Linked DNA regions of Macaca fascicularis. The protein of the gene in region 1 interacts with the protein of each later gene in a biochemical or structural test. Links are inferred from orthologs where the notes say so. Each region holds a gene or a part of one and is shown on either strand. Other genes may lie near its edges.

What was found. The genes of interacting proteins can lie anywhere in the genome.
Region 2: of the proteins of EP300 (region 1) and H1-1, one has a biochemical effect on the other in vitro, tested with the Homo sapiens proteins (2 studies listed by BioGRID). The link is inferred for Macaca fascicularis from reciprocal best matches to the Homo sapiens genes EP300 and H1-1.
Region 3: the proteins of EP300 (region 1) and NAP1L1 form a complex in vitro, tested with the Homo sapiens proteins (3 studies listed by BioGRID and IntAct). The link is inferred for Macaca fascicularis from reciprocal best matches to the Homo sapiens genes EP300 and NAP1L1.
Region 4: the proteins of EP300 (region 1) and NEUROD1 form a complex in vitro, tested with the Homo sapiens proteins (3 studies listed by BioGRID). The link is inferred for Macaca fascicularis from reciprocal best matches to the Homo sapiens genes EP300 and NEUROD1.
Region 5: the proteins of EP300 (region 1) and NFYB form a complex in vitro, tested with the Homo sapiens proteins (2 studies listed by BioGRID, with this or other methods). The link is inferred for Macaca fascicularis from reciprocal best matches to the Homo sapiens genes EP300 and NFYB.

What each region holds. Positions count from the first base shown.
Region 1 is NC_088384.1:10,445,423-10,450,423, reverse strand, and holds part of EP300 (histone acetyltransferase p300), read left to right. Parts: intron 1-651; exon of another isoform or gene 652-754; intron 755-891; coding exon 892-1,042; intron 1,043-1,163; coding exon 1,164-1,310; intron 1,311-1,854; coding exon 1,855-1,968; intron 1,969-2,750; coding exon 2,751-2,916; intron 2,917-4,553; coding exon 4,554-4,718; intron 4,719-5,001. UniProt on the Homo sapiens protein: Functions as a histone acetyltransferase and regulates transcription via chromatin remodeling. Acetylates all four core histones in nucleosomes. Histone acetylation gives an epigenetic tag for transcriptional activation.
Region 2 is NC_088378.1:146,911,944-146,915,156, forward strand, and holds H1-1 (histone H1.1), read left to right. Parts: upstream 1-1,495; 5' UTR 1,496-1,553; coding exon 1,554-2,201; 3' UTR 2,202-2,202; downstream 2,203-3,213. UniProt on the Homo sapiens protein: Histone H1 protein binds to linker DNA between nucleosomes forming the macromolecular structure known as the chromatin fiber. Histones H1 are necessary for the condensation of nucleosome chains into higher-order structured fibers.
Region 3 is NC_088385.1:82,918,683-82,923,201, reverse strand, and holds the start of NAP1L1 (nucleosome assembly protein 1-like 1), read left to right. Parts: upstream 1-1,208; 5' UTR 1,209-1,265; coding exon of another isoform or gene 1,266-1,308; coding exon 1,309-1,423; intron 1,424-1,590; exon of another isoform or gene 1,591-1,703; intron 1,704-4,519. UniProt on the Homo sapiens protein: Histone chaperone that plays a role in the nuclear import of H2A-H2B and nucleosome assembly.
Region 4 is NC_088386.1:77,224,163-77,228,714, reverse strand, and holds the start of NEUROD1 (neurogenic differentiation factor 1), read left to right. Parts: upstream 1-1,241; 5' UTR 1,242-1,329; intron 1,330-2,907; 5' UTR 2,908-2,918; coding exon 2,919-3,989; 3' UTR 3,990-4,552. UniProt on the Homo sapiens protein: Acts as a transcriptional activator: mediates transcriptional activation by binding to E box-containing promoter consensus core sequences 5'-CANNTG-3'.
Region 5 is NC_088385.1:111,066,101-111,070,586, reverse strand, and holds the start of NFYB (nuclear transcription factor Y subunit beta), read left to right. Parts: upstream 1-1,175; 5' UTR 1,176-1,238; exon of another isoform or gene 1,239-2,035; intron 2,036-3,846; 5' UTR 3,847-3,925; coding exon of another isoform or gene 3,926-3,931; intron 3,932-4,486. UniProt on the Homo sapiens protein: Component of the sequence-specific heterotrimeric transcription factor (NF-Y) which specifically recognizes a 5'-CCAAT-3' box motif found in the promoters of its target genes.

The sequences.
Region 1 (5,001 bases):
CAGGATGGTCTCGATCTCCTGACCTCGTGATCCACCTGTCTCGGCCTCCCAAAGTGCTGGGATTACAGGCTTGAGCCACCGCGCCTGGCCGTTGGTTGCATTTTGTTTTTGTTTTTTGGAAACAAGGTTTCACTGTGTTGTCCAGGCTGATCTTGAACTCCTGGATTCAAGCAATCCTCCCACCTCAGCCTCCCAAAGTGCAGGGATTAGGATTATAGGTGTGAGCCTTGTGTCCTGGCCATTGTTCTGTTTGTTTTTGTTTTTTGGGTTTTTTTTTCTTTTTTGAGACAGAGTCTCGTTCTGACACCCATAGTGGCACAATCTCGGCTCACCGCAACCTCCGCCTCCCGGGTTCCAGCGATTCTCCTGCCTCAGCCTCCTGAGTAGCTGGGATTACAGGCGTGTGCCACCATGCCCGGCTAGTTCTTGTATTTTTAGTAGAGACAGGGTTTCAGCATGCTGGCCAGGCTGGTCTCGAACTTCTGACCTCAGGTGATCTGCCCGCCTCAGCCTCCCAAAGTGCTGGGATTACAGGTGTGAGCCACTGCAACCAGCCCCTGTTCTGTATTTTTATAAACTCTTCCAAAATTGGAAATTTTTCAAAATGAAAAGTTGGGGAAAATGACATTTAGAAATTATTGAGTACTGTGTCTGCTTTAACAGCACATATATTAAAATTAGAATGATACAGAGAAGATTAGCATGTTCCCTGCACTAATATGACATGCAAATCTGCAAAGTAGTGAATACTTAAATATGCTGTGATTTTTTAAAATTTCACCAAGTTACCCTGTTTGTATTGAAAAAAGTACAAATGAGATTTAAGGTTGAACCTTAAGACTAACAATAGTAAATCTGCACCTCAGTAACTTTTAACTTCTACATTCCTAGGGTTGCCATCTACCAGACTTGGCACCTTTCTAGAGAATCGTGTGAATGACTTTCTGAGGCGACAGAATCACCCTGAGTCAGGAGAGGTCACTGTTAGAGTAGTTCATGCTTCTGACAAAACCGTGGAAGTAAAACCAGGCATGAAAGCAAGGTATCTAGTCATTTCACTTTTCTTCTCTTGTGGATCCAAAATTGCTCATACGTGGTTACCATTGGTGATTGCAATCTGAATGAATTTATGTTGTGGTCCTCCCACTATCTCAATTGTATAGGTTTGTGGACAGTGGAGAGATGGCAGAATCCTTTCCATACCGAACCAAAGCCCTCTTTGCCTTTGAAGAAATTGATGGCGTTGACCTGTGCTTCTTTGGCATGCATGTTCAAGAGTATGGCTCTGACTGCCCTCCACCCAACCAGAGGTATGACTGGCTCACAGTGGCTAGCTCCGGATTTGTGTGGGAGTTCCAAATTATAATAGGCGGAAGAGTATAACAGGCAAGAAAATGTTGAGTGTGCTTGGTTTGGAAATGCAAAATCTCAAGTATACAATAATTGTAAAGTGAAACAGATTAAAAAGCAAACCCCCAAACAAAATAACTGCTTGATTCTGCTCTTCTGTGGCCATAATAATAAAGGATATGAATAGCAACCTGAAATGGGAATTTGGAAACAAACGTACTACTCTTCAGAAAATGAGCTTAAATCTGGATAATGTATAGGAATCACCAAATACTGATGGATGTGTATGTGCCAGGCACTGCTAGTTACTTCAAATAGAAGGAAACCACAGGCTCGCTGAACTTTCCTGAAGGGTTCACAGTGGAGTCGCCCACCTGCCTGTGATGAGTTTCATAAATAACGATGTGAGCAAAGAGCCTGGGAGAGTGAGAGAGAGTTATTAGGCACATGGAATAAATAACTCAGTAGATTTGACTTTTCTTTTTTTCTCTTCATTTTGTATAGGAGAGTATACATATCTTACCTCGATAGTGTTCATTTCTTCCGTCCTAAATGCTTGAGGACTGCAGTCTATCATGAAATCCTGATTGGATATTTAGAATATGTCAAGAAATTAGGGTAAGCATATTTTGATAAATTTTTTTTTTATTAGGACATTCTGGTGAGATACAGGTTAAATTTGCAAATATGTAACTCTTTGCCTTTTTTTCTTCATTTTAGTTCTTACCTAACAAGTCTCTCAACTTTGTTAGAGCCCCTTCGAAGTTAATGTTGTCAGTAAGAGAGAAATGGATATGTTGACTCTATCACCTATCCAACATCAGTTTTGTTTTGTTCAGCTGAGCTATTGGGTCGTTTGCTTTGAAGTTTGATTTGTGCCTCTCATTTGAGGGCAGAATTTTAACTGCATTTGATCCTTTTATAACCTGGGTATCAAGACCAGAAACAGCTCTGGAAATACTTCTTACCTTTAGAGTATGTATGTCATTGGAAACATTCATTCCCTCATCTTGAAGACTGTTTCTCTGAATAGTGTGCCTTTTAATTTAGCTCTCTTGTTAAACGGGTCAATTTTCCTTCACAACGTAATCTTCATTTGGTCTTAACATGCAAACTTAGGGTTTTTGGATCCAGGGCTAAGTCATCTGCTTTCTGGCTGAGATTCACAACATCCCGCCATGGCCTCCAAAAATAAGTAGAGGCAGTATGAGATCCATTGTTTAAATTACTGTGAGTTATGCCTAATTTTGGTCTCACAATGTTAATCTCATGCTGGGTTATACACTGTGTTATCTTGGGAAAAATTATTGGTATCTATATCAACTCCACCTTGTGGTTTTAAAGTGTAGCCTTCTAGAATAGATGATCTTTTTTCCTTAATGTTCTCTTTGTATTGCTAGTTACACAACAGGGCATATTTGGGCATGTCCACCAAGTGAGGGAGATGATTATATCTTCCATTGCCATCCTCCTGACCAGAAGATACCCAAGCCCAAGCGACTGCAGGAATGGTACAAAAAAATGCTTGACAAGGCTGTATCAGAGCGTATTGTCCATGACTACAAGGTCAGTTGGGACATGGGGGCCAGGTGCTGACAGTAGATCTGGAAATACACTAATGTTGCTGCTCTGTATTCTGTCATTTAACTTTTTTTTTTTTTTAAACAAAAGTCTTATTTGTTCTACCTCTTGCATGTAATTCCTAAAAATGCTAATTTGATTGCTTTTATTTTGTATATTCAAAATTTTCTAATGTAAGAAAAACCAGGTTTTGAAGAGTGGTAGATCAAGAAGATCAAGAGATCCCTGTTTTAAAAAACATGTAATCAAAATTTTATTTTATTTTTTTTTTTAGGGGGGTACAGTTGGGGTATCGCCATGCTGCCCAGGCTGGACTTGAACTTTTGGCCTCAAGCAGTCCAAAGTGCTGGGATTACAGGCATGAGCCACTGTGCCTGGCCTTAAAATACATCTTTTTGTTTGTTTGGTTTGGGTTGGTTAGGGTTTTAGGGGTGGGGATGTTTTGTTTTCAGACAGGGTCACTCTCTGTCACCCAGGCTAGGGTACAGTGGCATGATATCTGCTCACTGCAACCTGTGCCTCCCAGGCTCAAGCCATCCTCCCACCTCAGCTTCCTGAGTTGCTGGGACTACAGGTGCACACCACCATACCTGGCTAATTTTTGTATATTTTTTGTAGAGACAGGATTTCACTATGTTGCCCAGGCTGGTCTCAAACTCCTGAGCTCAAGTGATCCACCCATCTCAGCCTCCCAAAGTGCTGGGATTACAGGCATGAGCCACCTCACCCAGCCAAAAATATGGTTTTTTTTTGTTTGTTTTTTGTTTTTGGACAGTTTCACTCTTGTTGCTCAGGCTGGAGTGCAACGGTACAATCTAGGCTCACTGCAATCTCTTATTTCCCAGGTTCAAGCGATTGTCCTACCTCAGCCTCCCGAGTAGCTGGAATTACAGGCATGCACCACTACACTGGGCTAATTTTTTGTATTTTTAGTGGAGATGGGTTTTCTCCATGTTGGTCAGGCTGGTCTCGAACTCCCAACCTCTGGTGATCTACGTGCCTCAGCCTCCCAAAGTGCTGGGATTACAGGTGTGAGCTACTGCACCTGGCCAAAAATATATTCTTTCTTAATACTATTTTAAACATTCATGAATATAGGCTGTCTCATGATACAGACTTGTCTTCCTCAATTTAGTAGTTCAACTAAATAAAGAAGTTTTCCTAAGCTGCCCAGCGAATCATTCTGCAGCAGATACTGTTTCCAGTATTTGTAGTTTTGGGCATTTTGAACAAAGCTATCAATAAAAGCTGCTGAAATTCCAAAGATGGGTGTGAGGAGGGCATGCCTCACACCACATACTCTGTGGTAAGGGCCATGGCTTGCATGATGGTGCTACCACCCTGACATCGATCCTCGCAGAATAATTGCCACTTGATTATATAAAGGCAGATAAGCTCCCTGCTTTTGTGGGTAGAAGAAATAGAAAACCAGAAATACTGACTTTAGGCCAGGCCTTTTCACTGTTTTTCTAAATAGCTCCCTGGTTTATGGCTTAGGTATATAGTCTCTGCCAGCTTTCAAGACATTTTAAGCTTTCATGTTTCTTGTCAGCCATGATTCTTTATAATCAATGCTTTAAAAGAACATAGGAATTCCTATTTGTACATGCTTGTTTTCACAGGATATTTTTAAACAAGCTACTGAAGATAGATTAACAAGTGCAAAGGAATTGCCTTACTTCGAGGGTGATTTCTGGCCCAATGTTCTGGAAGAAAGCATTAAGGAACTGGAACAGGAGGAAGAAGAGAGAAAACGAGAAGAAAACACCAGCAATGAAAGCACAGATGTAAGGGCATTGAGTTTCCTTTGAAACTTCTATAATATTTAATCCAAAAGTGCATTTAAACTTTTTTTTTTTTTTTTTTTTTGAGACGGAGTCTCGCTCTGTCGCCCAGGCTAGAGTGCAGTGGCACAATCTCTGCTCACTGCAAGCTCCGACTCCCGGGTTCACGCCATTCTCCGGCCTCAGCCTCCCGATTAGCTGGGACTACAGGCGCCCGCCGCTGTGCCTGGCTAATTTTTTCTATTTTTAGTAGAGACGGGGTTTCACCATGGTCTCGATCTCCTGA
Region 2 (3,213 bases), on another chromosome or scaffold:
TTTTCAGATACCTCGCTTATTACATTAAGAAAGGTTTATATCTTTCATAAAGGGTTTACTTACAAAAACCTTCCAATTTTATATACCTGTGTTTCATAACTGACTAGCCGTCAAACCAAGATGTATAGTTTCCAAATGTTATTTTCCAAATTTTAAGAAATTACGTGAAATATTTGAATGCGTGGCTTCTCAATAAAATAGACGTAGGAAACACTGGTAAAGAAGATGGGTACAATAGTTATCTGGGACTACTACAATTATTTGGTTGACACGTTGTTTGAAGAAAAAGGGAAAAAGCTCAGGTTACTTAGCACAGTTCGGACTTATTTAAAAACTACAACAGCACGAACGGAAATAGACCGCATTCCCTCACTCTCCGCTGTGTTAAGGGGTTATCCAGAATAGGATTGTAGAAGTGGATGTCGATTTAATAGTTTTTTTGTTCTCCCGTTAGCTGAGTCTCTGATTGGCAATGTGAGATCGTTTTAGCTTATTGATAATTTGAAATGCTCTTAACAGCCACAAACAAGCTAAAGAGAGGTTACCATAAAATCTTATCCCCAGGGTGTGCTTACACTTACCGTTTGTTTTCACACTAAGGAGACTTAACTCCCCAGCAGAATGCCTGTCGGGGAACCAGTTTCTTGGACCCAGCATTTAACGCCTTTCGCAGGTTTGTGAGGCCCATAAATCTTTGTTGAATAAAACAATGAGTTCACCATGTCATGGTGCGCTCATTGCATGTGCTGACATGGAACACAGGTTGTAAACCTTAACACCCATTTGGGGCATGTTGTATGGATGAAAAGGGCATTGGAAATTCCTGAAGTGCATCCCACATTGGACTGTGGAAGTAAGTTGCAAGTGCAGAAACGTTTCCACACTTGCAGTTTGAGTATTAATTGCAGCGTTAGTGAATTCTGGTGTTGTCTACGATTCATTCTTCTTTGACGTGAAAGGTATTCGCGAGACACATCGCTCTAAAACATTGCCAGAAAATGTAATCGAGTTGATGACTACTAGCCCTAACACGGCCTAAAACCCGCACTTTCCTCTTCCTCCCCAACTATTCAAACACTGTATTTTACATTTCTTGCAAATTAAAAACTAACATATCTGGCAACGGACCTCTAAAACTTTCTAATAAAACTCCCTGGATGCTTGTGGGGCTGCATTTGCAAACCGCTCCCCATCAACCTACTCCCTAAAACAGAGCTGCTTTTTGAGAGACAAGCGGCACCCTCTGATGTTACTAGGTGGCAGTCGGCCTACAATTTCCTTCACAATGAGGCAATCGGAGCGGCTTTTTCGGTGTGTTTGCTTGCGTTGAGGGGAGCGGGACCATAGGCCCTAGAGGCCCCCAGGTGCTCTCTGAGACTGGGGGAAACCCTCTGCAGAGCGCAGGGGGCGCTAGGGTGCGAGGGGCGGGCACTGACGGGCACCAATCACTGCGCAGTCCCACCCTATAAATAGGCTGAGTCGGGGCCTTTTTTTTCTCGCATCCTGCTTGGTCAGGTTTATACCAGTTTACTTGGTGTGCTGTATTAGTCACCATGTCCGAAACGGCGCCTCCCGCTCCCGCCGCTTCTGCTGCTCCTGAGAAACCTTCAGCTAGCAGGAAGGCAAAGAAACCTGCTAAGGTTGCGGTGGCCACTAAGAAAAAGCCTGCTGGCCCTTCCGTGTCAGAGCTGATCGTGCAGGCTGCTTCCTCCTCTAAGGAGCGTGGTGGTGTGTCATTGGCTGCTCTTAAAAAGGCGCTGGCGGCCGCAGGCTACGATGTGGAGAAGAACAACAGCCGCATTAAGCTGGGTATTAAGAGCCTGGTAAGCAAGGGAACGTTGGTGCAGACGAAGGGCACCGGCGCCTCGGGTTCCTTCAAACTCAACAAGAAGGCATCCTCCGTGGAAACCAAGCCCGGCGCTTCAAGGGTGGCTGCAAAAACCAAGGCAACGGGTGCGTCTAAAAAGCCCAAAAAGGCCACGGGGGTTAGCAAAAAGAACGTCAAGACTCCAAAAAATGCTAAAAAGTCTGCGGCAACAAGGAAATCCTCTAAGAGTCCCAAAAAACCCAAAGCTGTAAAACCCAAGAAAGTAGCTAAAAGCCCTGCTAAAACTAAGGCTATAAAACCCAAGGCGGCCAAGGCTAAGGTGACGAAGCCAAAGACTGCCAAACCCAAGAAAGCGGCACCCAAGAAAAAGTAAATTCGGTTGGAAACTTCTACTAACCCAACGGCTCTTTTAAGAGCCACCTACACACTTCGGGAAAAGAGCTGTAGTACACAGATGAAATTCCCCCAAGCAAATGCAATACGCCCTCATTTATATTAGAATCACTTGGAGAGTCAATAGGAACTTTAACATAGGTTGAGTAGTAAATTCTTGCCAGATGAGGCTATCAAAGATAGCAAGGTGAATTCAAATGCACCGAGTTAAAGTCGAATTTTAGATCACCTGTTTTGCTTTTTTTTTTTTTTTTAAGTAGCCCGAAGTCCCGCATCTCACGACCCCAAGCTAATTAGTCATAACTGTAACGAACCAAGGTTGAAGCCTAGTCCCAGGCTTGAGGCTTTTTTATTATACAAGGTTAAAGTGCGGACATTGCGTTCTTGGGTCAATATTGCTAAAGTAGCCTTTTCCGAAATTGGGTGGTCCTAAGAAATGCTTCTGGGATAGTAAGCAAAATTCATGGCTTAATCACGCCCTCTCGGCAGCAGTGGCTAGAGAGGTGTCTGTCCTTGGGAATGACGGTGACCCTTCTGGCGTGACTGGCGCCCACGTTGGCGTCCTCTGAAAGCCCCACCAGGTAGGCCTAGCTCGCTCGCTTTCTGCAGCGCCATCATGACAAAGCTTTGAAACGCAAAATGCTCTTGCTTTGCGCAGCGCTTTACCATGGGTGCACTTACAGGCTGTCGACTTGGTTTAGGCCCTCATCAGGACAAAGGAGCTTAGTTGCAATGGAGTTTTAGAGCTGCAACTCTAAAGCCCTTGCTCGGTTTCTCTGTTTTTAGAAACAGTAGCGACCTGATTGGATAATATTTGAAAATTACTATGCTTAACTGGATCGTGTTTCATCAATCGTGCAGGATTTTCAACCCTGGTGGAGCCCACACATTCAATACTGAAGATCCTTTTCTCAGAACTGCCCCTTTAAGCTTTTGCAATTTTAATTCTGGGGTTCAATTTTAATAACTGAACTTTTTTTTACATCTGACAA
Region 3 (4,519 bases), on another chromosome or scaffold:
AGTTGAGGACCCCAAAGAACTTTTATGTGCATTATTGATACTGATACTTATGTCAGAAATTAAAAGTGAGAAATTTTAAGAGTATTTCATTTAAAAACAATAAAGCAATCAAATATTAACAAAAATAATTTTTTATATGAAAAATAGGCCCGGTGAGGTGGCTCACACCTGTAATCTCAGCACTTTGGGAGGCTGAGCCGGGCGGATCACGAGGTCAGGAGATCGAGACCATCGTGGCTAACACGGTGAAACCCTGTTTCTACTAAAAATACGAAAAATTAGCCAGGCGTGGTGGCGGGTGCCTGTAGTCCCAGCTACTTGGGAGGCTGAGGCAGGAGAATGGCTTGAACCCAGGAGGCGGAGCTTGCAGCGAGCCGTGATCGTGCTACTGCACTCCAGCCTGGGCGACAGAGCGAGACTCCCTCTCAAAAAAAAAAAAAAAAAAAAAAAAAAGAAAAGAAGAAAGAAAAATAACTACTCCCTCTTGCCCCCAAATCGAGTTTTTGCAAATCTCTTTAACGTCTGGTTTAACCGCAGATGACTGGATTCTCCTATCTGCTTCTATTTTCAGTCTGTTTCCTTATCACATGTCACATAGCCTCCGGAAAACCCCACTGTACACTTGTGAGAGAATGAGAATGCAAAAGACAGTCTTGACATTAATATGGAAATAGTTTTGACCTTCCTCTTGAAAGGGTCTGGGGACCCTCAGACCATATTCTGAGAACAACTTTTTGAGTTATTGTTAGTCAATTCATCATCACTTGAAAATTAGTTATGAGGTTTTACAAGCCTGAGGATTTAATGCGATTTACTTTTTCAGAAAGATGAAACAACAGACATACTGAATGTCCTCATTACAACGCATCCAGAGAATGCACAAATATGCCATTTTCATCCGTCAAAAGAACTGAAGGGACTGTACATCAGGTACAAGTATGTGGCGGGGGGATGGGGAGCTAAGGATGACGAGCACCCCCTAAAGGCACGGAGACCCGCTGGCATAGTTCGAAGCAAAACAGGCAGAAGAGGCCGCCGAAGTGGTCTAGAGGAAAAAACTGTTTTTCTTAGGCGGGGAGGGAAAATAGTTACCGGGGGCCGGCGAGTTGCAGGAATTAGGCCCTGACAGGGAGCGCCCGCCGTCTAGGCTGCGGCGAGAGAGGGACCAGGCGACTAGCGCCCGCCCTCAGCATTCCCAGCACAACGCCGAAGGGGGCGGAGCGGGCCGGGCGCCGGGCACGCGGGCCAGGCCTTCCCCACAACTGATGGGGTTGAGATTTCCTTTCCGGCTCAGCGGGGAGAAAAGAGATGGTGGGGTGCTTAACAGAGAAGGTTAGACACCGGCGGGTACCAGAGGAGCCCAAGCGCGGCGCTGGGCCTCGGGGCTGCAGGAGTCCTGGGTCTGCAGGAGTCCTCGGCTGCGGTATGGAGGTCGCCGGGGAAGAAGGACGGTTCAGTTGCTAGGCAACCCGGCCTGGACCCGCCTCTCGCTCGCGTTGCTGGGAGACTACAAGGCCGGGGGGAGGGCGGCGAGAGGGCCCTACGTGCTGACGCTAATTGTATATGAGCGCGAGCGGCGGGCTCTTGGGTCTTTTTTAGCGCCATCTGCTCGCGGCGCCGCCTCCTGCTCCTCCCGCCGCCGCTGCCGCCCTGAGTCACTGCCTGCGCAGCTCCGGCCGCCTGGCTCCCCATACTAGCCGCCGGTAACGGATGGGGGCCTGGAAGGGAAGGGGGAACGTAGTTTTCGCTGGGCGGCCTGCGCAGATGGGAGGGCCGGAGGGATAGAGGGACTGGGAGCGGGGAGTCGGGGCCGCTGGCCGCCCAGGGCCTCCGGGGTCGTCCTGTGAGGTCGGACAGGACCGCGGAGTCTGGACCCCGGAGTCTGAGAGGGGCCCTAGGGCCGACCAGCGCTTTTATCTGGGACGGCTGAGGCGACTTAGGGGTTGGCGCGGCCTGGCGGCGTGAGGTTCTCTGAGCTCCACCGTCTTCTCCGCGTGTACCGGAGCGAGGCCGCGGTGACGCCCGGGTGCTCTGAGAGTCGACTGCGCCGCGGGGACCGGGAGGCCCCCGGCGTACGGGCCGGGCCAAGTGCAGAGCCGGCCGCCTTTTCGACACCCCCCTGCTTTTCCCTCAAAAATAATACCAGGAGGGAGGCCGCTGGGAGATGAAAGAACGGCGGAGGCTGCGAATTCCGACGGGAGGGAGGGGCTGTGGAGGGACGAGGCCCCGAGGCGGGGAGGGGGCGGGGGAGACTGCGACGCTCCCGGGCTCTCCGCCCATTGGGGGCGGCCGCGCGGGGAGGGGAAACCCCCCGGCGGCTTCCCTCCACACGTGGTAATGGGCTTCGTGGCCACCAGCTGGGCCTGGTTGGAGACCCTTGCCCTCGGGCTATCCTTACTTTGAAAGTTGTAGAGACGGTGGAACGTGAAAAGGGAGAGTAAGCTAGTAAGCCCTGTCCCTGGGTTTCAAACTCTTCCCTGCTTCTCTTTGGTCTTAATCTTTTTATTGGTACCGGAGATTGTGGATGTTAGCTGATGAGGAAGGGCCTCCACTGCTAGTATTTTAAAAAGTTAACGCGTATATAGCGCTTATGTTAACTGTTATTAGCAAAAGGTTGTTGTTGTGTTTCCCAGGTACAGTTAGATGGGTGTCTTGATCAGGATTTTTTATTTGGGGAGTATTGACCCTAATCGATCTAAACCCCTAAACCAAGCTTGTCCAACCCGCGGCCCAGGACGGCTTTAAATGTGGCCCAACACGAATTCATAAGCTTTATTATTATTATTTTGAAAAAGCTCATCAACTAGTTAATGTATTTTACGTGTGGCCCAAGACAGTTCTAATGTGGCACAGGGAAGCCAAAAGATCGGACCACCCCTGCAAACGGTTCTTAGATGAAAATAAAAAGTTTGGCCCTTTGTGACTTTAATTGTTCTTGGCTTTCTTATAAATTAGTTCGTTTATTGAAATCACTAGAATAAGATACTTAAACTGTTTCCTTTTTAAGATAGGAGGTAGGATGGAATGAGGTGTTAGTATAAACTTAGCCAAGTTTGTAGCCTGCAACCTTGTCAATGAACCCCACTCCCCTAAAGATCTCGGGGATGGCTTAGCCAAGTTTGTAGCCTGCAACCTTGTCAATGAACCCCACTCCCCTAAAGATCTCAGGGATGGCAGTGTAGGGAGGCTGGGACTGAGGTCCTATCTTAGAAGGCTAGACTTTGAGAGTACAAAAAGGATGAACCAGGCACAGGATGTCCTCAAGGAGCCCCTATTTTAGACGGTCACTGATCAGTTCTGAAACAACTACATTTTAAAAATATCACTGCTAACATTTTAAGGTATCTCACTGCTGCAATTAAAAATTCACACTGCTTCCCTGGTTTCAGAAGAGCTGTAAAATGAAATTTGGCCTTTTGAAAATAGGTGGATTCAAAACATCTTTGGAAACGGGTATCTGGGTCCTCTTTTTTTGGTCAGCTTAAATTAATACTCACTTTGGAGTTAATGGAATTAACTCACTTAAATTAATATTTACTTTGGAAGTAATACACATGACCTGTGATTGAATAAGGGAAAAACCTTTTACGTATGGGTTACCATTTAAAAATCAAAGGGAAATAAATGACATTTACAGTTATTTTCAAGGCACTCTTGTGTTTCAAGCTTGTTCGAATTGCCCAAGTTTAAATAAATGGCCTAAATCTATAGTTTAGTTCTAAGAATACTATCCTTTGGAGAATATGTGGAACTAAACCCTAGTAGGTGGACTTGGACATCTTCTATCATAAAACCTGACTTTCATAGATTCTCCTTCCAAGTCAACATTATGTTAATAAATAGAAATTTAAAAGTTTTCAGTACACCGATTTGAATATTTTTCTAAATTTTATCTGCTAGAAAGTACCTATTTTCATATTAGGCCCATTGATTTGCAGAATTATAAAGCTAATACCGAATATGGTAAATTACTGCACTTGGCCTTTAATGAGATTTTTGAAAAGAATACCTGTACCATGACGAGTGTAATCCAAAGTGCCATCTCTTTTTATTCAGCTTGCTCCTGTTGGCTCCTGGTAACTGAGTTGATTCTAAGTTGCTGAAAATATGTTAAAAACTAAGGGTCTTTTTGTAGAAGGGGCTACAGAAGCAGTATCTGTTGGACTTAAAAGGTCTGAAGATGTCAAAATACAGTATTTTATTTGTTTACTTCTTGGTTGTAAATTTGAAACGAAGGATTAGAATGAAACCTCATCAATATCAAAATATTAATGATCAGTGTATTCAGATCTTCAAGTTTAATCAAACCTGTAATTACTTGTGTTCTCAGTTTATTCTTTGGGTAACTATCTGGCACCTGTATGGACGTGTATCTCATGAGCAAAAGAGGCAAATTGGTTGCTTAGATGTGAAATGTCAAATTGTGATGAGAGCTGTGAAGGAAGAAAAAGGTAAAGGGGGCATAGGGTAATACAACGTTTGCACGAAGGAACCTGTTATAATTGATGATTTTAAATTC
Region 4 (4,552 bases), on another chromosome or scaffold:
GCGCAGGTCCGGCTGTGGCGAGGTGTCCACCACCGTACTCATGGTCAATGCCTGGACTAGAGAGCCGAGGCCATGCAGGGCGGGCTGGCCAGGTAACTGGAAGCGTCCCTGAACTGGCTGAGAGGAGGTGCCTTTTGCAGCAACCCAGTGGCCATGGCTAAAAGGCAGAATCCAACCGTCAAAGAAGCCCCCAGCTCCCACATAAGAAAGCGCAAAGGCCAATGGAGCCAAGGCCTCCTCGAGAGAACTAGCTCGCTTTGAGGACAAGATCCTGGGGATGGAGGTAGGGACTGACGTAGTGAGAGGGTCTGGAGGGACAGTGGTAGCTGAGAGTCAGGACACGAAGGATTGAACGTATGGTAGGGATAGAATGGCAAGTACAAATTTTCTGTACTTAAGGAACTGGGAGAGGACGATCCGGTTAGAGAGGATGGGGAACTAATCTCAACGCTGCGTTTACAGAAGAAGCCGCTTTTATATGGCGTATATGTTTGCTTAGAGGGGCCGAAGGAGATTAGGAGAAGCCATCCGTTGGCGCCAATGATCAAAGCGTCTGCCAAGGAGAAGAAGCCAAGGGATGGGCCTTTCAGACAGGGCAGGGAGTCATGCTGCTCTGGATGCCAGTGCCAGGACAAGAAATCGAAAGGAGCGAGGACTCTTCACTGCGTGCCTCAGTCTCCCCCTTCTGCCTCTTTCACCTCTGCCCTACTTCCGGCGTGAAAGCAGGCCACTCTCTCTGATGTAGACCAACTCAACATTAGCTTTTCCCTTCCTTCCCTCAAATCCCCTCCCCCCTCTATCCCCTGTCCCTTCTGCCGCCTGAAAGGGTTAATCTCTCCTGCGGGTAAAAACAGGTCCGCGGAGTCTCTAACTGGCGACAGATGGGCCACTTTCTTCTGGCCACAAAGGGGCCGGAATGGAGCGCTCCGCGGCATACAAATGGGCAGGTCACGTGGTTCCAGGCTCTTGGCTGGACCGGGAAGACCATATGGCGCATGCCGGGGAGGAAGGAGAAGGGGCGGGAGTAGGGGTGGAGGGTGAGGGGAGCGGTTGTCAGAGGAGGGCGGGAGACAAGCAAGGCGTGGGGAGAAGTGGGGAGGAGGGGAGAACCGGGAGCGCACAGCCTGGACGCGTGCGCAGGCGGCAGGCGCAGAGACCTGCTAGCTCCTCAGCTAGCAGCCCCGCCCGCGCTTAGCATCACTAACTGGGCTATATAACCTGAGCGCCCGCGCGGCCAGGACACGAGGAATTCGCCCACGCAGGAGGCACGGCGTCCGGAGGCCCCAGGGTTATGAGACTTTCACTGCTCAGGACCTACTAACAACAAAGGTAATTACAATTCTTTCATTTTTTTGCCCTAGAATAGAAGCAATAACTGAAGACTGATGCACCTACATATTCTGTATGTGTGCGTTTGCGAGCGTGTGTATGTGTGTTGAGACCAGCATCCCTCTCCATAATTGCCCATAAGTACTCACACATAATGAGTCGTGTCACTCAAGTACCCCCTGCAGGCTTTCTAATTTAAATTTTAAGAATTTGGGTTTCTTTTGTGGATAGCATAGGAGCTTGGATTTTTTAAAAGAATACACAGTAATTATGATTATCTGCTAGTGCTGATTTTAAAGTCCCAAAAGCAATAATGACTTCATTTTCTCACTTCTTACAATAAGAAAAAAAAAAGCTGTGTTATCAATATATATTTTGTGTGCATGTATTTTACGCATATTAGGAGTGTCAAGCTGTGTTTTCAGTGAATGAAAGCGACATGGATACCTTGAGTATTCACACCATGGAAAATAAATCAGGTTCAGAGATAGTTTAGTTGAGAGGGGGGAAAGTGAAGAAAGGGAGAGGGACTCACTCCTGCTACCTGTTACCGCTCCAGAGGCGGCCAAGTCCCCAGCAGCCACTACTGGAGCCAGAAATGCAGTTGTTTTACTAACGGCTTTTTATTTTCCTTATTAGAAGCAGCAACTTCGCGGTTGCCAATCGCTGACCATTATAATTACTCAATTTTTTAAAGGGAGGTTTGAGGCGAACTTTGAAAAGCCTCAATAAAGAGCGGGCGGCCCTTTCAATGGGCTGTTTATTAGAGAGGAGCCTTCCGCACCTGATCCCCGGCGCGTGGGAGAGCGCTCTGCGCCGCGCCCCCAGCCCTCGCCCTGCAGCTAGCGCTTTTGTACAAGGTGGAAATTCAGCGTCGGGCCAGAGATGGAAGGCAAGAAAAGAAAGGCGAGGGAGGGGTGGAAGACCCTGTCCACTTTTGTTGCCAAATGTTACATTGATGGTGGAACAATTTGGCGGAAACTATTTTTCCTCCTTTCTGCATTTGCTCTTCAGTATCCCGTCTGTGTAATCTTCTTAAAAATCGCTGCCAGTATTAGTAAATTGCGCAATGGCTCTTCAACTTAAATCGCTAAGTACCTAGAAGCCAGGACAAAAATGGAAGCAGAATGTGTGATTTTTCAGCTCATTTGTGTGTGTGTGTCTGTGTGTGTGTGTGTGTGTGTAGTTGTGAGTGACTTTGAACACATTTGGATAAACATGAAGTCACTGAAATGTACAGTCATTTCCACACACATTATCTTGTCGGGCAACCACCATAAACACATTTAAGTTAATCACTAGGATACAAACACATATGCGTGAGTGGTGTACACATATACATATTCACTGCCTTCCCCCAGTCCTGTCCTCACTCCTACGTACCAGCGGGGCACACGCACGCGCCATTATAAAACACTGCATTTAACTTTTTCTCGGAGGCATTCATTTTGTAATGGGCAGGTACTTTTCTCAAGCATTTGTACAGATTGAGGGAGTGGAAGCTGAAGGCGTATCTGGCTTTTGAATATAGCGTTTTTCTCCTTTTCTTTCTGTTTGCCTCTACCCTGTTGAATGTAGGAAATCTAAACATGACCAAATCGTACAGCGAGAGTGGGCTGATGGGCGAACCTCAGCCCCAAGGTCCTCCAAGCTGGACAGACGAGTGTCTCAGTTCTCAGGACGAGGAGCACGAGGCAGACAAGAAGGAGGACGACCTCGAAGCCATGAACGCAGAGGAGGACTCACTGAGGAATGGGGGAGAGGAGGAGGACGAAGACGAGGACCTGGAAGAGGAGGAAGAAGAGGAAGAGGAGGATGACGATCAAAAGCCCAAGAGACGCGGCCCCAAAAAGAAGAAGATGACCAAGGCTCGCCTGGAGCGTTTTAAATTGAGACGCATGAAGGCTAACGCCCGGGAGCGCAACCGCATGCACGGACTGAACGCGGCCCTAGACAACCTGCGCAAGGTGGTGCCCTGCTATTCTAAGACGCAGAAGCTGTCCAAAATCGAGACTCTGCGCTTGGCCAAGAACTACATCTGGGCTCTGTCGGAGATCCTGCGCTCAGGCAAAAGCCCAGACCTGGTCTCCTTCGTTCAGACCCTTTGCAAGGGCTTATCCCAACCCACCACCAACCTGGTTGCAGGCTGCCTGCAACTCAATCCTCGGACTTTTCTGCCTGAACAGAACCAGGACATGCCCCCGCACCTGCCGACGGCCAGCGCTTCCTTCCCTGTACACCCCTACTCATACCAGTCGCCTGGGCTGCCCAGTCCGCCTTACGGCACCATGGACAGCTCCCATGTCTTCCACGTCAAGCCGCCGCCGCACGCCTACAGCGCAGCGCTGGAGCCCTTCTTTGAAAGCCCTCTGACTGATTGCACCAGCCCTTCCTTTGATGGACCCCTCAGCCCGCCGCTCAGCATCAATGGCAACTTCTCTTTCAAACACGAACCGTCCGCCGAGTTTGAGAAAAATTATGCCTTTACCATGCACTATCCTGCAGCGACCCTGGCAGGGGCCCAAAGCCACGGATCAATCTTCTCGGGCACCGCTGCCCCTCGCTGCGAGATCCCCATAGACAATATTATGTCCTTCGATAGCCATTCACATCATGAGCGAGTCATGAGTGCCCAGCTCAATGCCATCTTTCATGATTAGAGGCACGCCAGTTTCACCATTTCCGGGAAACGAACCCACTGTGCTTACAGTGACTGTCGTGTTTACAAAAGGCAGCCCTTTGGGTACTACTGCTGCAAAGTGCAAATACTCCAAGCTTCAAGTGATATATGTATTTATTGTCATTACTGCCTTTGGAAGAAACAGGGGATCAAAGTTCCTGTTCACCTTATGTATTATTTTCTATAGCTCTTCTATTTAAAAAAAAAATACAGTAAAGTTAAAGAAATGCACCACGAATTTGGTGTAGCTGTATTCAGATCGTATTAATTATCTGATCGGGATAACAAAATCACAAGCAATAATTAGGAACTATGCAATTTTTAAACTAGTAATGGGCCAATTAAAATATATATAAATATATATTTTTCAACCAGCATTTTACTACTTGTTACCTTTCCCATGCTGAATTATTTTGTTGTGATTTTGTACAGAATTTTTAATGACTTTTTATAATGTGAATTTCCTATTTTAAAACCATGCAGCTTCATCAATTTTTATACATATCAGAAAAGTAGAATTATATCTAATTTATACAAAATAAT
Region 5 (4,486 bases), on another chromosome or scaffold:
CTATGTATACATTATCCCAAATGACCCTGAGAAGCAGACATTTGGGCAAGATCACAAGCCAGTAAGAAGGGGAGCTGGAATTCAAGTCAGGTTGTCTGATGACAGTGGCATTGCTACTTACTCCTCTTTTCACAATTTGGGGCTTTCATTTGTCCTTTCTTCCATACTTGCCCCAGAAATGTTTAAATACTCTGAGAAACAGTGGGAACTCTATAAATAAAAGATCTCTCTGTATTTTTACATAATCAAAGCTAGAGAGTTTCATGTGGCGCAGGCCACTCGGTTAGTGGAAGCAGAGGGCACGCCATCCCCAGATCCAGTTGCAGTGAGTGGTGTTGGATTACCCACCTCTGGGATGGTCACTGCTGAGCGAAGCTGGACCCGGGACTGCAGTCAGAGAAAGCGAAGGAGCTTGGCTGCACAGAGGCAAGAACGGGCCACGGATTCTTGCAGCCAAAATGTCATCTGGTTGGGAAAAGCCGCTTGACAATTTGCAGCTACTAGAGGGGCGGGGGTGGGTGGAAAATGCAGCATCTTAAGTTCAAGATTCAGGGTGAAGGCTGGCTAGACTTAGCAGGGGTCTGCATCTTTAGATGAGATGTGAAAAACACCCAAGCTCAGGGACCAAATAACAGGGAGCGCTGTGCCTGCAGCGACGGTAACAGGGACCCAAGGAAAGAAAACACGAGGCGCTGAAGGCGCTCCAAGAGGTCCCCGCCGTTCAGACTCTCCCCGTGGCCCGGGCGCGTCGTCCTAGGGGGCGGCTTCTGTCCCTGGTTTCCCCTTCTTAAAAATCCAGGCGCAGGCAGGCTGAGCTCGGGCGGCTGAGACACCTTCACGTGGCGGGGGAAGGGGTGACAAGGAGAGGGAGGCCCGAGAGATCCCGCTTGGCACAGGCCCGGGTCAGCACAGGGAAGAAGGCCCGCCTAGACCCGAACTGCGCGCCCGGGCCGGGCCCTAGAAGACCTCGCGCCAAAAGGAGCGGGATCCGGAGCTGCGCGGCGGCCTCATAGGAGCGCGGGGCGGGGCCGGGGGCGGGGCGGGGCGGAGCCGCGGCGGGCGGGCGCGCGGGCGGCGCGGAGGGAGGGTGTCGCGCCGAGGGAAGCGGCCCGCGGCGGAGGGAGGGGAGGCCGAGTCCTGGAAGCGGAGCTCCGCGCTGGGACTGGTTCCTTCGCAGCCATTTTCTGTCCAACCAAACAGCCGATTGGAGACGGGAGCCAACCAGGGCTGCATTGGAGGTTTGTGTCTCGCTTCGGCCAATGATCGCTCCTAAACCGACTCCACTTTAGCTCGAATGAAATGTCCGTCTCCTCCCGGCGCCGTCCCCGCCGCCAACGCCGCAGCGGCCGGGGGCACTCGCCTCCCGCCCTCCCGCGCGGGCCGGGGCCGGGGCCCGCGCCTGCGAGGCCGCTCCCGCAGCGGGCCGGGCCGGGGAGCGGGCGCGGGGCCGCGGCGCGGCTCTTTGTGCGCCGGGCTGAGGAGCGGCGGGACGCGGGCCAGGCCGCCTCCCGCTCGCCGCCGTTGAGCTCCGGGCCCGAGGCCGAGGAGGGGCCGCGGGGCTGCGTCGGGGCCCCGCTCTCGACGGCTTCCCGGGCCGGCTCCATTTTGTGCGGGGAGCCGGCGGAGGGGCGGGAGACGCGGCGCGGGCCCTGGCCCCGTAGCCCCGGCCGCGGCGCGGGCCCCCGGGGGCGCCCCCCTCCCGCCCGCGGGGCTGTGGTGGGGCCCGGCGCTTTGTCTCCCCGCACATCCCGAGGGCCGCGCGGCGGGCGGGAGGCAGGCGTTGGGCGCGGGGGCCGGGGCGGCCGGGCGAGTCAGGGGATGCGCTCTGGGGGCGGCCTCCCGGCACTCGCAGGGCTGACAGGTCGCCCGGACCGGGCCGTGAGGCTGGGGCCACCCAGGCACCTGCGTGGGGAGGAAGGCATGGCTTTGGCTTCCCCGCAGTCTGGTTTGCGCGTAAAGAATGCAGCCATCTGGCGGCTTGCGGTCCCAGGACTTGCCCCGAAGGTGGGAAGGAAGCCCTTCGGATTGGACTAAGGTTTTAATCATTAGTGGTGGGAGGCGGGAGGATATGCAGGGCCTTAAGGAACGGTAGTCTTAGAGAACAAAGAATTACAGAGCACCCACAAATCATAATCTCGCTCAAAGCACTCTAACAGGATAATTTAAGGTTAGGTAGCCTGCGACCTTTAAAAAAAAATGGCATCCCACTAACCCGCATGGACCCCATAGTTCCGTGGTTCGTGCCACAAATCACTGGGGTGGTTTCATCTCTCTTAGTATGGAAACTAATCAGCAACATAAAGTGATGAAAGCAAACGGATCAATATCAGTGGCACTAATCAGTGGGGGTTTTATTTGTAAAGTATTGAAAGTTTAACCAAAATTCCTTAAAAGGCAAATTATTCCTTCCCTGCGCTGCTCTTGTATCTTAATTTAAGGATTACTGTATATTGATGCAAAACTCTGGTTGTTGATGCCAAAGAATGGAGGGTGGAGGAAGGGACTACTGCTTTTCTTGGATACAAATTTGCATTTCTTCAAACATTAAACAGATGTATGCATTCCCTTGAGCTTTTACATATATCAACCTGCCCTTAAGAAAATATATACCATATGAGGTGGCCGTGTTTTTCTTTAATGTACTGAATCTAAATATATACTGAATCAACTCTTTGGGTGAGGGAGTGTGGTGTGACTCCCCTGTCCATACCCCCCTCCCCCATTCCAAGCAAAATACATAAATATAGCTCCCATATTTTAAGTGTTCTGAGGGCTTATTTTTTCAAAGACACCCTTTAAAAAAATAACATTTCTCGTTACAAGGAAGGACTTTTCTGAGCAGTTTTGGGGTTAGAGGATACTATTAATATTTGAAAATAAATTATGTTACTTTTAATATTATAGCAAATGTCAAGCAGTCTTTGCTACCTGGACCCTTTTAGTGGCATTAAAAACATTCAATTCAGTGGCTACAATTTTTTCTGCTGTTTGCTAGATTTCATGCTTGGATGCGTATCAGTATGTCTTCTCCCTTTAAAATTAACACTGAAAGGATGTGTTTTTGTTTTGGCATCCTACCCCTCACCCATTTAATTGTTTCCTTTGAAAAAGAGAAGGGAACAAATGAGAAATGAAACTTGTAACACTGCAATTGATACTAATTTGTTCAGCTATTTATGCCTTACAGTGAGACTGAAGTGCTATTTCGATGCAATTTTAGTCAAAAATGGTGGTGCTTCAAAATTATAAATAAGGGTCTTGATTGTGTTGCTTTTTTGATATACTCCCAGTGCAGAATGTATCTTCATTACAGTATAATCTGAGATTCTTAATTGGAAAGCATTATATTCTCAGATAATTTTTTCCTCCTTTTAAGCGATAGAATGCCTAAATGTTACTCTGAAACATGTAAGAAAACCGCCACCAAAAAATTAAGTTGATAAGGGGTGTATTTGCGTCGTGGGTGTTAATGTTTTAAGTGATTTAGATGTGTAATTTTTGGCGTCTTGCATATTATATAATTTGGTCCCTATTTGGTGTATTGTAATGAATGTTTATGATGAATATGGCTAAATTCAGGGTTATGTTGGAAAATCCATTTTCTCCTTTCCCCATGGAATTAACTTGTTTGTAAGTTCTCCAAAATAAATCTTTCAAGTCAACAAACATTTATTGGATGATGCCTTTTTATACTATTTTATACCATGCACTCCATGGATTATGAATCGTAGTCAAAATTGTACATGCCCTCTTTAATTTTATGAGAAAAAAAGCCTGTAAGTGATACATTTGATATATTTTTTACTACTGATAGATGTTAGGTCCTAATAGATGTTTATCTTTTAGGTTGAAATCACAAAGATTAGACACCTTTTTAGACAGGTATTCTTCAGCACCACTGACAACACGGTTCTGACAGTATTTCATGACAGTAAGTATGTTTTACCATTTTGGTTGTTAATTAGATTTGAATAGTAATTGGCTGGAAATAAAATTATAACTGATTTATACTGGAGGTGCCTGGTAGAATGAATGCGTTTCAAGTCTAGTCAGACAGTACCTCTGTTCATTCCTGTTGCTTCCTTATTTTCAGCTTTTTGCATATATTATTTCCCATGGGTCCCTAAGTGCTGTTGAGGCTACAGGGTAACCTGTCCCGGCTGTAAAGGGGCTGTCTGTTTAGCCAGTTAATTGAATACTTAGGGGACAGTTATGCCCAGAATGGAAAATGCTAACTCTTAAGTGCAGTAGATGTGGGAAGAAAGGCGTGATGGGCCTGGATACTTGGGAATGTCACAGAGGGATCCTGCAGACCTTGAACTGAGCCTTGAAATAGAGGGTGGGAGTGGATTGGTGAAGGGTATCGCCAAAAGCAAAAGCCTGGTGGCAGGATGGGCAACTTAAGTGGGGATCGGGAGTAGAGGTGCATGGTCCAGGGTAGATCTCAAAGGATAATGTAGGAAAGAGAAAGCACTTGTCCCCTCTG